Astyanax mexicanus: one gene and its partner. The main gene of each other region encodes a partner of the protein of the gene in region 2 in a complex. Links are inferred from orthologs where the notes say so. Each region holds a gene or a part of one and is shown on either strand. Other genes may lie near its edges.

Region 1 (3,753 bases), on a different chromosome or scaffold from region 2:
AATCTGAAGAAAAATACTTACTGTACATTCCTGCATCTCCTGCTCCTTAGTGGCCAGCCTCATCACCAGAATGTTCTCTCTGCGTGCAGACTCCTGTTGTTGCTGCTTTAGCTTCTCCTCAGACTCTTTCAAACCAGTCACATCATTGGCTGTGGATAAAGCATACCATTCAAATGCTCGCACAAACAATGCAATAAATCAAGAAAATAAATCAGAGTGCATGTGCGGAGACTTACAATTTAAATCAGCATATTTTGCCTCCAGCACCTGGACATAGGCTTCATGCTGTTTCCACCTAAGATGGAAAGTAAAATGTTTTTGCATTATTTAAAGAAAAGAACCGTAATTAAAATATTTATTAAAAAGAAAACTTATCCTTACCGTGTACACAGCTCCTCTCTGGTCAGGGTCTTCATGTCTGATTCATTAAGGCGAACCTGAAATACCAGAAATAGAAGCATTAATAAACTGACATAGCAGAGATTTCCTCATCATATTTCACAGCCAGTTAAGATCACTGTGCCAATGCGCTCACCTTCTTGGGAAGAGGTTCTTCATTAGTCATCTTGATCTCTGCAAAATGACAAAAATAAACAAATATAAGACGTACTGTTTTACTTCAGAAGAAAAACAACAGATTCACAACATACAGCTCTGGTTGCTCCAATACCATAAAATGGCCACATTAGAAATAAAGTGCGAGATCACACACTTTACTAGAAGACGTTTTTGTAGGAGGTTCATTTTATAACCTATTTCACTTCCACTGTAATTGGTGCAAAGGTTAGGCTGGCTAGATGGACTAAAGCACACAAGCAATATAATAGCCAAGTTATACCTACAGCACCATTTAAACAGAGAAACAGAAACTCTGAACAAAAATAAATCAACACCAGACAGTCAGTGTAACTAATATCATTTAAATTTGGGGCTAAACTCGAAAATATAAAACTGTATTCATTTTTAAAATTTTCCCATTTAGTAGCTATAATGAGAAAGAAGTGTTTTTTTATTTTACCAATTTTCTGTTAGTCAATTCTGTGTTTTGCAAACAGAATTTCAGGAAAAATCCATTTTAAAAATGACTTTATATTGTTTTGATTTTAGAATTCTTACCATATAATTCAACTTTTGTTACAATACACAAAAAAGGACAAATCTGAAAATCTAGAAAATAATTTTCCTGAAATTCTTATTTTGTGCTGCAGAAATGAGTTGTTGGAGTGAAAAAATATTTTAAAAAATAGAAGAAATAAAGACAAACATTTCTTCTTCATTACAACAAACTGAGAAAATAATAATAGCTAAGTAAGTTAATGAAGTTTCACACAACAATCGTAGTGTATTGTTGAATTTATCCTCTATAACGGTCAGAATATGGAACTCAAACGTTAACGTTACACTGACTCAGCCTCGCCGTGCTTTGGGTACAAGCAAAATGGACCACAGTTTAGATAGTTGCGCTCTGCGCACAGAGCGGTAAAAGCCTGTAACGTCATTAGCAGGGACATGTATAAACGGAGACTGTTTTAAGAGCTGGCTAGTTAGCTAGCGTTTCGTTCTGCTCCTCTACGTAATCTAGCCTAGCCTAGCCTGAACATGTTATACACTACAGCCCCTCGCACGTTTGTTGGACTGCGTTGGTTAGCATTTGTGGACCATACGAGTTCGTAACTAACCTAGAGTGTCTCAGTAAAAACCTCTCATTACTGTCCGCCAGAAATCCGTGTCCTTAAACCCCTAACCGAGGCCTGTTGGCTGTTTATTCTCGGTAATGTAGTTAAGCTAGTTAGCCCGTTAGCCAGCGTGAACAGCTAATACCGAGCTAGCAGGGCTGGCGCTGCTGCGTTAACCGCGTTAAAATCAGCGGAGCCCAGCGGAGCAGAACGGCGGGTCAGACACACACCTCCAGTCCCCGAACTATTTAGACGGAATTCCCCACGAACCACTGAACTACACCCGAGCAGAATCCCGAGACCAGCGCGGCGTTTAGACTAGTACCTGCCGGCTCCGTGTGTTATCAGTTTCTTGTCACAAAATGGCGGAAAAGGAAGAGACTCTCCCTCCGACCAACAGCGCAGCTCTCAGAACTTGTTTACCAGAAACGAGCCAGAAAAAGACACCCGAGATACTTACAAGCCCTGCTTTACTCAGACCAAGATGACCCAATCTGCTTCTAGCGCGCTACTAACGAGCAACCCGTCCCTCTAATAGCGTATTTCAATCTTAAAACGACCCGAGCCTGAGCTTAACGCGAGCTCCGCGTAGCCGCCATCACCGCGAGGACGATGGATGTTCCGCCGCAGAGGCTGAAGGGGCGGGGCGGCTTACATGATGTGTGTTGCAGCCTGTTAACCAGTTCAGCGACTGTTCAAAACAAGACCCCGCTCAGGAGAGACTGGATTAATAAATGATGAAGGTGTAATATTCACGCTGAATTCAGGAATAGATATATTTCACGGAAAGTATATGATATGTAATGTATTTTTTTTTATTCTTAAAATAATATACCTTATAGAAGCTCACTGAAGTCATAATCCTCATATTAGCGATATCTTGTTATAAGGGGTATAACTGTTACAGTTTTAGGACTGTTACACTGACCGTATCAGGAGCTGTAACTCCAGCTAATGAAGCATGTAGCTGCCTCCCTGTTGCAAATTACGAATTGAAAAAGGAATTCTCCTTTCTCTCTGGCAATTAGTAAATAGCTGCTTTCTAACAAAGGTAAAGACATTTATTTTATCCATGTTATGTCCTGCTCAAAAATTTTAAAATGTACGTTTCATGAAAATGTTCTTTTTGCCACAGTTTCCACAGCTTTGGAAACTGTCGCTCACCTATTTTGTACCTGCACTCCCTTTTGGCAGGATATCTCTTTAATGTTATTTCCTTCCCACATTTATTGCTAGAAAAAATATGATGGTCTTGTTAATACACCATGATACTAACCTGAAGTAAAATAAATCAGGTTATGAAATTGATGCCCTAATGGGAATAGTTTATACAGTATAAACAACTGTTAAAGCCATGTCATCAGCTCCAAACTTTAGAGTATTCTGCAACAACCTCATATTTATTTATGATTCTTTGTTGTTTATACAATAAACCCAAAAAATAAAGACATAGCTTCTGTTAAAGGAAATTATTAAATAACTATTATTTTTTTTGTATTGATAACTGTGTAGTGTGTGGCTTATCCAGTATCTTACACAAGTGAGTGCACTCCTCATATATTTGTAAATATTTAATCTTTTCATGGAAGAACACTAAAGATATGACACTTTGATTCAATGTAAAGTAATCAGTGTACAGCTTATATATATATATATTTTGCTATTTCCTCAAAATATCTGGCAACAAAACCAAGTACACCACTGTGAAAATGTCCAGATTGTGCCCAAAGGGTAAATATTTTGTGTGGCCACCATTATTTTCCAGCACTGCCTTAACCCTCTTGGGCATGGAGTTCACTAGAGCTTTACAGGTTGCCAATCCTCTTCCACTCCATCATGACAGCATCATGGAGCTAGTGGCTGTTAGAGACCTTGCGCTCCTCCACCTTCCTCAATTGGGTGTAGGTCTAAAGACATACTTGTCCAGGCCATCACCTTTATCCTCAGGTTCCTCAGCAAAGCATTTCTCATCTTGGAGATATGTTTGGGGTCGTTATCATGATGGAAAACTGCCATGCGGCCCAGTTTCGGAAGGGAGGAGAACTCTTACTCTTACTTATTCAAGCTCTGCAGCAAT
Region 2 (3,753 bases):
CCGAAATGCGGGAGATTCCCGCAGCTTCAGGGAGACTTGATTTGTCTGCCATCTCTCAAGATCTTTGCTGCAGCCAGATCACCCACAGCTTTCCTAAGCTCACTCTTTAATCTTATTGGATTTAATGGAGTCCCAGATTCAGTTCCAAACTTAAGAAGAACTGTATACTGTGCTACATGCTCCTCCTTCCTACACTTGACATGCGTAGGAAGCTCCTGACTCTCTCTCATGATCAGATAATCTCCTACCTTTCTTAATTCCAGCAGTTTGCCACGCTCCTCCACCATCCCACGACCCGCTCTTTATCCCAAACATTTCCAACTCACTCCCTTCTTCCTTCCATCTCCACTCCTTCCAGGTGAGCTACCAGCTCTTTTCCTAAACCGTGACCGCTAGCTATGTACCTGGGCTCATCAACCAACCAACCTCGTGATGTAACCAGTGCTGCACGGGCAAAATGGTGGCGCACTAGCGCAAACGTAACAAACATATATATGTTACAATTTAGTGTGTAAACATTTTAGATAAAAAAATCCCCTCCCAAATAAATTCCATTATATTTAATCCCTTGGAAAACTTGTACGAACTGAAATGTTTCATGTCCACTTTAAAATAAAAAAATAATAATAATAATCAAGTTTTTACATGCAATTTTCAAATGTTGCATTTAACCTAAAAGAAAATTATGAAATAATAAAAAAATAAATGAATAAACGTTACACAGACTTTAGTTAATAATTGTTTTTAATGTGTGTTTTTAATGGTTTACCTCTATTCACCTCCATTCACTCAGGTCTCCCTCGCGGGCTCCCTCTAGCGGCACGCGGTGGTTTAGAGCTCAGGATTGGTCGGTCTTCCCGCTCTCTCGCTCTGTCTCGCGCTCTGTCTCTCGCGCGGTGACACTGTGTGACGCGTATCTCCTGCGCCGGCCGGGCTGTGTTTGAATGTGTCTGTGTGCGCGCGGGTTTCTCTCTGCATCGCTTTAAAAACCCGTGTATTTATTATAATTCTGAGTAAAGTGGTCAGACTCTGATTCAGATCAGAGATGAACAGCAGACTGCAGGAGATCCGGGAGCGGCAGAAGCTCAGGAGACAGCTGTTAGCCCAGCAGGTAAAAAAAAAAACAAAGAGAGAGAGAGTAAAACACTCTCAGAAACAGAGAAACCACACACAGAGAGAGAGAGAAAACACATTCAGAAACAGAGAAAAACACATTCAGAAACAGAGAAAACACATTCAGAAAGAGAGAAACAGAGAGAGAGGGAGAGATAGAAAGGGAAACACAGAAAAACACACTCAAGAAACTGAGTGAGAGAGACAGAAACACACACAGGAAAAACATGCTTAAACTCACAGAGAGGAAAACAGATACAGAGAGAGAGAGAAAACTAATTCAGATAAATTTACAGAGAGAGAGAAACACAGAAATCACGCTTAAATAGAGAGAAAAACAGTCAGAAACAGGCAGAGATAAACACACAGAAAAACACTAAAACACACTGAGAGAAAAACACACTTAGAAACACAGAGAGAGAAAAACAGATACAGAGAGAGATAGAGAGAGAGAGAAAAACACTTAGAGATAGAGAAACTTACAGTGAGAGAGAGAGAGAGAAATACAGTCAGAAACACAGAGAGAAAAACACAGTAAGAGATACAGAGAGAAAGAGAGAGAGAAACACTCAGAAACAGAGAGAGAGAGAAGCACAGTCAGAAACACACACAGAGAAATACTGTTAGGTACAGAGAGAGAGAAAATAAACACACTCAGAGGTACAGAAATATTTAGAGAGAAACTCACAAACAGAGAGAGAAAAAACACTCAGAGATAGAGAAACTTACAGTGAGATAGAGAAAAACACAGTCAGAGATACAGAAAGAGAGAGAGAAAACACACTCAGAAACAGAGAGAGAGAAACAGTCAGAAACACACAGAAATACATACAGATACAGAGAGAGAGAAAAACACACTCAGAGGTACAGAGAGATTCACAGAGAGAGACTCAGAAACACAGAGAGGAAAACAGTCATAAACAGAGAGAAAAAAAAAACACTCAGAGATAGCGAGAGATTTGCAGAGAGAGAACACTTAGAGAAATTTACAGTGAGAGAGAGAGAATAACAGTCAGAAACACAGAGAGAAAAACAGTCAGATACAGAGAGAGAGAGAAAAAAACACTCAGAGGTACAGAGAGATTCAGAGAGAGAGAGACACTCAAACAGAGAGGAAAACTAAGTCATAAACAGAGAGAAAAAAACACTCAGAGATAGAGAGAAAACAGAGAAAAACACAGTCAGAGATACAGGCTTAGATTAGTCACAGTACAGACACAGCACCCTTACAGATCCATATAATAACCTACAGTTTTTACTAATAAATTCTCTTTCAGAAAAGAGATATAAGCACTGTACTAATTGGGCCATTCCACAGAACGGGTGCTATTGATTGTTGTAACTTTTCCAAATTAAACTTTTTAATTTTTTTAATATCACATGTATTTAACTATTCAAAACATGTAATTGTCAAGTGCAGGCAGCTTTACCTTACTACTTTTTTACAAGGTTTCTAAGCCGAAGATGTTTACAAAACTCGTGTGACATTTAAAAAGCATGTTCAAATGCAACTTTGTGTTTCTTTCAAGAAAGTCTTTATTTTAAAGAAATGTTCGACTGTATGTTCAAATAAGTGATATTTATGACCAAAAATCATTAACAAGTTAATGGCACTGATTCCTGTTACTGGAACTCATTCCTGTTAATGCCACTCACTCCTGTTACTTTTTATGTTTTGAGTAACGGGAATTAAAGTGACAGGACTGAGTTTTTAGCATAGAATTATGCTGTGCTAATAGCATGAGGACACTAAGCACATTCTAGTGATTTTGATGGGGTAATTTGTTAAGCTAACAGGACTGAGTGAAACCCAGGGACACAACCTAAATGTGTATTTTAACTTAAATATTATGGATTTATAATGAAAAAAATATTTTTAAAGGAGTGATTTGCTTTTAAAATATGCTTTTAAATGTTTTTAACTTTTAAATGTTTTTAACTGATTCGTTTTTATTCGTTTTTTTATTTTATTTCCTCTCATATTAATAACTTACAGTATTCAGAGCTTGTAATTAATTGAATTTCTCCTAATATTAATCTAGCCGTTATCTATAGCTGTTATTTTAACACATATCTATGCAGTTTAATGTAATAGTAGTCTGATTGGGCACTTTTGAATTAACCAGTCAAACCCATTAATAATCACATAAATCATCAATCAAAAAAAAGTAGTAGTCTGATGTTTTTGTATTTTTACATCACTTATGCTTTACACTGAGAGCTGAGGGAAGATGTTTGTGTTGTTTTGCAGCTCGGAGCAGAAAGTGCCGACAGTATCGGCGCCGTTCTCAACAGCAAAGAGGAGCAAAAGGAGATCGAGGAGTCCAGAGAGACCTGCAGGTATTCCTACAGTTTACTGCAGTAGTAGACACAAAAGTACACAAACCCTGTATTTGAGTTGAAGTAGATGTAGAGAGGGTAAAACATTACTCCAGTAATAGATGTATAAGTCCTCGGTTTAACGCTCCACAACAGTAAAAGTACTTACTTTTAAAAGAATTCACCTTAAAGGTCTCATTCAATTGTTTTTACATTCATTTTAAAATGTCTAGTTGTGGTCTCTGGTGTTTCTGTATAACCCTGCTTTAGATCACTGAATTAGTGGTCTCTGAAGAAGGACAGGATTTCGGCTCTTGCTCA

Evidence for each region. Proteins that work in one complex are often made in the same cells at the same time.
Region 1: mettl14 (region 2) and pre-mRNA-splicing regulator WTAP share a complex: the UniProt entries of both Homo sapiens proteins name them as parts of the WMM complex. The link is inferred for Astyanax mexicanus from reciprocal best matches to the Homo sapiens genes METTL14 and WTAP.

What each region holds. Positions count from the first base shown.
Region 1 is NC_064408.1:74,746,608-74,750,360, reverse strand, and holds the start of pre-mRNA-splicing regulator WTAP, read right to left. Parts: upstream 2,323-3,753; 5' UTR 2,137-2,322; intron 2,058-2,136; exon of another isoform or gene 2,002-2,057; intron 1,926-2,001; exon of another isoform or gene 1,907-1,925; intron 574-1,906; 5' UTR 566-573; coding exon 536-565; intron 438-535; coding exon 382-437; intron 296-381; coding exon 237-295; intron 150-236; coding exon 22-149; intron 1-21. UniProt on the Homo sapiens protein: Associated component of the WMM complex, a complex that mediates N6-methyladenosine (m6A) methylation of RNAs, a modification that plays a role in the efficiency of mRNA splicing and RNA processing.
Region 2 is NC_064432.1:11,010,938-11,014,690, reverse strand, and holds the start of mettl14 (N6-adenosine-methyltransferase non-catalytic subunit), read left to right. Parts: upstream 1-902; 5' UTR 903-1,045; coding exon 1,046-1,111; intron 1,112-3,364; coding exon 3,365-3,453; intron 3,454-3,753. UniProt on the Homo sapiens protein: The METTL3-METTL14 heterodimer forms a N6-methyltransferase complex that methylates adenosine residues at the N(6) position of some mRNAs and regulates the circadian clock, differentiation of embryonic stem cells and cortical neurogenesis.